2 linked regions of the Coturnix japonica genome follow. The main gene of each other region encodes a partner of the protein of the gene in region 2 in a complex. Links are inferred from orthologs where the notes say so. Each region holds a gene or a part of one and is shown on either strand. Other genes may lie near its edges.

What was found. Proteins that work in one complex are often made in the same cells at the same time.
Region 1: STX7 (region 2) and VTI1B share a complex: the UniProt entries of both Homo sapiens proteins name them as parts of the SNARE complex. The link is inferred for Coturnix japonica from reciprocal best matches to the Homo sapiens genes STX7 and VTI1B.

The regions. Positions count from the first base shown.
Region 1 is NC_029520.1:27,589,178-27,592,921, reverse strand, and holds the start of VTI1B (vesicle transport through interaction with t-SNAREs homolog 1B), read right to left. Parts: upstream 2,696-3,744; 5' UTR 2,690-2,695; coding exon 2,356-2,689; intron 389-2,355; coding exon 330-388; intron 133-329; coding exon 1-132. Other genes in the region: retinol dehydrogenase 12, read left to right, coding at 2,743-2,837, 3,206-3,324. UniProt on the Homo sapiens protein: V-SNARE that mediates vesicle transport pathways through interactions with t-SNAREs on the target membrane. These interactions are proposed to mediate aspects of the specificity of vesicle trafficking and to promote fusion of the lipid bilayers.
Region 2 is NC_029518.1:51,525,056-51,528,799, reverse strand, and holds the start of STX7 (syntaxin-7), read right to left. Parts: upstream 2,748-3,744; 5' UTR 2,616-2,747; intron 1-2,615. UniProt on the Homo sapiens protein: May be involved in protein trafficking from the plasma membrane to the early endosome (EE) as well as in homotypic fusion of endocytic organelles. Mediates the endocytic trafficking from early endosomes to late endosomes and lysosomes.

The DNA of each region.
Region 1 (3,744 bases), on a different chromosome or scaffold from region 2:
CAGTCCCAAATCTGTGCTTCTCATCTCCCTCTGGAACATGGAGAGGTCCCTTCTGTATGCCCGGATTTTGCTCATCATTTGATTGCGGAATGGTAGAGGAGCATACTTCAGTTCTTCTTCCATTTCCCGGAGCTTAAAGAAAAGAACACTTATTTTAAAGCATCACATTCATTCTTATAAACAGCTGTACCCAGAACTTACACTAGATGAAGGGATTCACATATTATGTTCACATAAGAACATTAAAGTAAAACTTGGGATACTGTCCTTTCTAGGGCAATCAACATATTAAGTGGCCAGAAAGGCCACAATTCCAGGCTTAAACTTACCGTTTCATTTGCTTCACGCTGCTTCTCATCAAACTCCCGAATCAGCTTTTTCTTCTCCTCTGCACAAGAAAGAGCAACACGTGAGATAAACCCCAACAAAACTAAAGCAGAACTTGAAATCCTGATTTCCAGCAAATCGGGTTTTTGCATCCTAGCAGTTCACTAAAAACAACCACTCAAATAAGACAAGCACCCTGCAGAGCTCTGAGATGGAAGACACCATCAATACACCAGATCAGGTTGTCCAAATACTTCTCTTTTCTGGAACCACACTGGATGTTAGATCAAAACACCTAAAACCAGCTCATCTTATGGATGTGCCGTGGCCACACCAGGGCCCTTCCCTTTCAGTTCAAATCCCCATTAAGCCCCTGAGTTTGACTTGTAGTGCACTTAAGATAGATAAGTTTAAACATAAGTTTAGCGCTGCAGGAAATGCTGATTTATGGGGTTCCTACATTGACTATCCTCAGCTCCTCCCCTGCTTTTCTGCCACGTACATTTGTGCTGATTCAACTGCTTGAACAGCCAGGCTGCTAGCAAGGACACGGGCACACACAGCAAGGAAACAACTTTCTAAAGTCACCATTCTGCTCACGCAGGACACTCCACTCCTTTGGTGAATGTAGTGCCCTCTTAGAACAACTGCTGCTGTCTCGAACCCATTGAAACCCGAAGCAGTGCTGAAAAAGCAGTATTTTACCCTCTTTGGGTGCCCACAATTGGATCAGTACAGCACTGCACTTCAGCCACAGAAACATTACCCACATGTTTCTCAGCATCTGTGAGATCTCATTTAAACCAACCGAAAAACAATCAGTTGAAAAAGGCAGTTAACTGTTTACTCAGAGAATGGGATCTATAGCAGAAACTGATCAATGCCATTTAAAATGCTTTCTTATAGGTTTGGAAGGAAGAAAACACTTGCTTCCAGACCTGAGAATTTATTAGCTTGTAAGATAACATTTCCACATGGAAGATGGTCCAACAATGACACATTTTGTCCTCCCTGCAGTCTGGGAAGTTACCAATCATCTCAAAGGAGTACACAGGACACCATCTGTTGTCCCACAGACTTTTCATGACAGTGTGAAAAATGAAGACCCATGTGGGCATGGACAGCAAAGAATGCCTTACAAATGCCTTCAAAAGAGAGATAAATTCCTGACTTCACATGAACTCCCTTGTTATACTTCCTTGGGAATATCACAGATCTGGGGACCTGGCAATAGTTTACTTTTGTCCACAAAACTGACAACCCTCCTTTCTGCAAGGAAATTTCTGTTCTTTGAAATTCAAGCGTTGTGGGGCATTTTTCAATATGTGTGAGCACGGTCTCTCCCCATTCTTTCCCCAGCAACAGGGTTGAGTTTGTATTTCAAGGCAGCAAAATAACCCTCACCCTACCCTGCAACCTCCTCCCATTAATTGTATAGAAACGATGCCCAGATTCCAGGGCCCTTCTTCACAAAGGGGCATCCCTTCCTTTATGCTTTTCCTTCTTGGTGACTGTCAATAAAACAAAGGCAGCTTTGAATCACAGAACTGCAGGGTTTGGAAAGGACCCCAGGGGATCACCCTGTCCAACCCACTGTTAAAGCCAGTTCCCTGCAGGTCACCAAGGAAAGCATCCAGGAGGGTCCTGAATATCACTGGAGGAGACTCCACAGCTTCTGTGAGCAGCCTGCTCTGCCTTCTGGCCTTGAAAGCTGCGGCCCATAGTTTTAAGTGCCTCCCACTGTACTTTCTGGAAACGAATAGGATGGTGACCCTGCATTTAACCCGGTATTAGACTGAACCGGGCAGCCCGGACACCGCACCCCTCACACCCAGCCGGTGCTTCCCCGCCTCCGCGCCCACTTCCCGTTCTCCGCTACGCCACAGCCGAGCGCTGTGCGCCGGGAGCGGAGCCAAACGAGCCCCTCGGCTCGGGCAGCGCCGGGCCGGACCGCGGGGCCTCGCCGCGCTGCGGGAGAAACCTCCGCGAACCCGACGAAAGCGCCGAGCCGGATCCGCCCCGCCTCACCCGCCGCGCCGCCCCGCAGCCGCTCCGGCACGGCGCGCAGCTCCCCGTGCAGCCCGCGGAAGATCTCGTGCAGCCGCTCCAGGTGCTCGGAGGACGCGGGGCCGCGCTCCGCCATGGCGATGGGCCGTACGGGGCACTGCCCGGCGCCGCTTCCGCCATCGGCCGCGAGGACCCGCGCCTGCGCAATGAGACGCCCCGCGCTGCCTGACCGCGGCACCGGGGCAGCCCAGGCGGAGCGGGGTCCTGGCGGCGCGCTGCCCGCTGGGAGCCGTAGTCGCAGCGCCGCCTCGTGGTGCTCCGCCCCGCCCCGCCCTGCACCGCCCATTGCTCCCATTGGGGCGGGGCGGCTCCTCCGGGCGCGATCAGTGCGGGGCGGACGCGGCGCGGATGGAGCCGTCGGCGATGCTGAGCTGCTGGGGCGCGGTGCTGGGCGCCGCCGTGTCCGTGCCCCTCGTGCTGCTGGCGGCGGCGCCCTACGTCAGGTGCGGGGCTGTGGGGCGCCTCGGGGGGCTCCGTGCCGCCGGGCTAAGCGGCTCCTTTCTGGGGGTTGGAGACATACAAAGGGCTTTCGGGCAGCGCTGTTACGGCGGTGTGCGGTTGGCGGCAGCCGGCTCGAGCCGCTCCCGCGGGGGGTCCGGCTCAGCCGAGCACGGGGCGGTGGGAGCCGGTGGCCCGGGTTCGCCCCACGGCGCCGCGCCGACTCCATTGGCCGCCGCGCCGGGAGCCGCGCTGTCAGCCAATGGCAGCCGTGGCCCCACCGGAGCGGGCGGAGCGGGCGGAGCGGGGTGTCGCGGTGCCCGGTCCGATGTCGGGCTCGGAGCCGCCGTCGAGTCCCGCCGCTCTCTTGCAGGCGGTACGTGGCCGGAGGGCGCTGCGGGTCCGCGGCCAGGCTGGACGGGAAGGTGGCGGTGATCACGGGCGCCAACACCGGCATCGGCAAAGAGACCGCCAGGGAGCTCGCCCGGAGAGGCAAGTCGGCGTCACGCTGCGAGCGGGTGCGGCTGATGCGATCCGGCACCACGCGTCGTGGTCTGCAGCCTGGGGCCGTGTTTCTAAGAGCCACATTCTGAAGGTCCTTCAGACAGGGCTGTAACCCCTGAGGTGCAGTTCCCCAGTTCCCAGCTGCATTCACTGCTTGAACCCTGACCCCGTGTCTCAGCGTGTAGAAATACTCAGCGCTGTGGCCACCTCGGGAGGACCAAGGAAGTGCCTGGAGTCACAGGGCTCTACCTTGTTTGGGGATGGGAAATGGCTCAGATCCGCTCATGGTTCAAAACTGGCTTAAATGTTTTTTGGTAACTAGCAGGGCAGTGAAAGTACCCAGCAATGGCTCTGGCTGGAGTCCAAGCAACCCTGCGTGTGTAGGCCCTAGTGCTCCCATACAGCCAC
Region 2 (3,744 bases):
GCAAAGATGTCTCCGTACATACGGAAAATCTAAAGAATTCAAGAGATCAGTATGTATTTTTCCTCACTCTAATATACAACATCAAAACACCACTTAAGCAATAATTTGACTACTTAAGGAATATTTTAGGTATAGGATCTAGAAATGTTTACATGAATCCTCAGCTTTTGGTAAGCAAAAATTATATACTGCATTCCAGAGAAGTGCTTGAAAATTTAAACCTGATTGGAATTAGGACTTTGTGCCTTTAAATATCCAGAGACAAGTCATGTGCTTTCCTTGGACATGCTCTCTCTCTCTCTATATATATATAATGTATATATATACAATACATATACACACACACACATATATAATACATTATATATATATATAATTTTAAATAAAGCTTCTACAAAACAATTTCTAATTGTGACTTCCTTTGTAAAATAATCTCTGTCAAAAATATATATATCCTTCAAACAGGGTGGAAACACAATAAAAAATGACGATGTAAGTATTAGGAAGATTCTACTCCTATTCCCCCCCAAGAAACAGCAGCCAGGCACAATACCGACTATTGAAGATTTGTATCACAGGGACTAGTGAGATTCCTGCCAGCTGACACTGCTGCCCATCCCATCTGAGTGGGTTTCACCACCCAGCTTCTAGAATGAGACAAAGTAACACAGTGCTTTTACAGTGTAGCTCCAGCTCCCATTCTAAGGCAGCCCAAAACAAAACATTGTTGCTGACCGTAGCAGTAAGTAGTAAAATTAAACTTCAAGAAATCAAAGCTTCTGGAATAAGAGACAGACTGCATACCATAAGGTAACTATGTCTCTGCTACAGCACCAGAGGCATTATTGCAACAGACTCATATAGACAAGAATTAAACCTGTCACTGTTCTCTCCAGTGGGGATGAGGGAGGTAAGTTTTGTCTGGATATATCCTTCCCCTCCCGCCTTTTACTTAAGGCCAAAACATATTAAGAATAATGCCATACTTCCTACTTCTGTGCTTTCAGCTCCAGATGGGCTGGAACCCTGATCCATGCAAACAGAACAGTCACATGATTTCCTCCCTGCCTGTTCAAAAGAAATGGAAGTTAAACTATCCATATATATATGTGTATATATATATGGATATATATATATATTAAATCATATAGCTTCATGTAGAACTAAGCCTAAAATTAAAGTGGGAAGAAAGTAAGCAAAGTTCATTTTAAAACTTTATTTACTCTAATGCAGGAACACTAAGATAGAAGAAATCAAAAGATAAATTTCTATTCCACTCTGCCCAATTGCCTTGGCCTTGCCTCATTAGTTGGGCTGAAGCGCATCAAAACTGAACTCATATCAGGCAAAGACCAGATGATTTCTTAAGAAGAAATAAGATTTGTTAAGGCTGTGTAACTGGTCAGTCTCATTTCCCCAGAAAAGATTTCCCAACAAAGATGTAGCTTAAACATTACATTCGTAGTTATGCATTAGAAGTGCTCAGTGCGTAAAACTGAGCTATGGAAACTTGAAATGGGATTAGGCCTAAAGGACAACCAACGCTGTCTCAAGCACACATGGCTAACAAGGAATATATTTGTCACTATCCAGTTCGCCCTCATTGACAATTACATAAAGCAACAGAAGAATGTGTCTTCTGCACAAAGCAAGTTCTCAGGGAAATGCCTTTATAAAGAGAATCATGCCTCTGAGGAAGAAACAGGAGACAAACACTGGCAACTGGCCCACCACAATATGGCAATGACTAAATTACAGGTCTTAACTTTTACGGAGCTTCTCTTTGGTGTATATTCCTCCTTTCTATTAACAGCATTCGTGTGAAACCCTGGGCTCACAGCAAGGGGCCTGCAGGGCAATGCCTGCAGAGAAATCGCCCCACCACACCGCTCCCAGCTTCTGCTTTGCTCATTCCTCAGGGAAGGTCAGAATACATGGGGGGTACTTAATGCCGCAGCTGACGTGCCCGGTTTTAGCATTAAGCTCTGATATAGACACAGTGCCTCGCGTTTCACGCCTGACAGAGCGAAACCCTCCACTTCCCCCACAGCTTCACCGAGCACCCACTTCTCAGGCAGCAGCAGCAAGTCACTCGACAGGAAAGTCAGCGATAACGCCGGGCCCCAGGCCCAGGCTCTATTTGCACAGGCGATTTGCTGCCTCCCTGCCTGCAGCCAGCACACCTTGTTGTCCTCACACCTTCAGCACCACGAGCACCCTGATGAAGCACAGGTCAGCTACCTACGCTCAGACTTCACTTAAGCCACTACAGAACAACTGGCTCGAGTCCCCGAATCCTCCCCTCGGAGCAGAAAGCCAGGGGGATGTTATTGCGGAAGGGGCACGACCGGCCGCACCCAGCCACCCCGGGGCCGGGCAGCCTCCACCCGACCGCGGGTGGAGGAGCGGGGCACCGCTCCCCTGCTTACAGCCGCCCCGCTCAGCCCCAGGCCCAGGCGGTGGCCGCAAGCTCCCGCACAGCACCGAGGCCCCGATCCGCCGCCCTCTGACAGCCCCTGCTCGGCCACCGCCCCGTCCGCCCCTTCCTCCTCCAGCCACCCGAGCGTGGAAGCGAGAAAGAGGAGACCGTCCCGACCCGCTCCCGCTGCACTTACCCGGTTCCGCCGTACCTCCTCGCACCGGGCGCGGTGGAGGGGATGACAGGGAAGCCGGCTTCCCGAGGGAGGGCCGGGGCCTGACCGCCCGGCACCGCCCCGTCCTGTCATGGGGCGGGAGCCGCCGTGACGGCGGAGGCGTGGGGAGGAGCGGCCGTGGGGCTGGGCCGGGCCGGGCCGTGATGGGCGGAGAACGACTGCGGGCCCGGAGCCGCGGGCAGGGGGCGCTGCCGGGTGGGAGGGCTCGGGGTGTCCGGGAGTGGGATTCGGGATTCAGAGTCGTAAAGGTTGGAGAGACTGCTGAGACCAATAGCCCACCGGCTCTGTACCGCTAAACCACTTCACTCAGTACCACATCCACGTGGTCCTTGAACACCTCCAGGGATGGTGACTCAACCACCTCACTGGGCAGCCTGTTCCTATGCATCACCACTCGTTCTAAGAAGTGTTTACTTATATCAAACCTGAGCCTCCTCTGGCACAACTTAAATACATTGCCTCTTGTCCTATTGCTTGTTACTTGGGAGAACCTGGCATTTATTGCCTCCGTAGTTGTATGTTAGTGGAGAAAAAAGCATTTAAGAATAGAATATCAGGAAAAGATGCTGTGGTCAGGTGTTAGAGGAAAATGTACGTAGCGAAATTACAGAACAATGGAATACAGTGCCATTATATTAACATCCTTTATGACCTTCAGTTTTGGTCATCATCTCCAAATGGGAGTGGAAACTTATAAGTACATTGAAAGAATGGGAGATAAATATATTAAATATATGAATATAAATATACATAAATATATTTAAAGAAGTCTGGAAAAAAGTTGAATGAGGAGTGGCTGACAGTATTGAGACTGTTTAGACTGGAGAAGTGGAGGCTCAGGGGAGATGTTATCACTCCCTACAACAAAAGAAGAAAGAAGATTGTAGCAAGGTGGGAGTTGGTTGCTTCTCCCACTTAACAGAAATAGGATGAGAGGTGACAGCCTTAAGTTGCACCAGGGGAAGTTCAGGATGGATATTAGGAAACATTTCTTCTCAGAAAGTGAGGTGAGATATTAGAACAGGCTGCCCAGGGGGGTGGTTGTAGTCCCCATCCCCAGAGATGTTCAATAAACATGTAGATGTAGCAT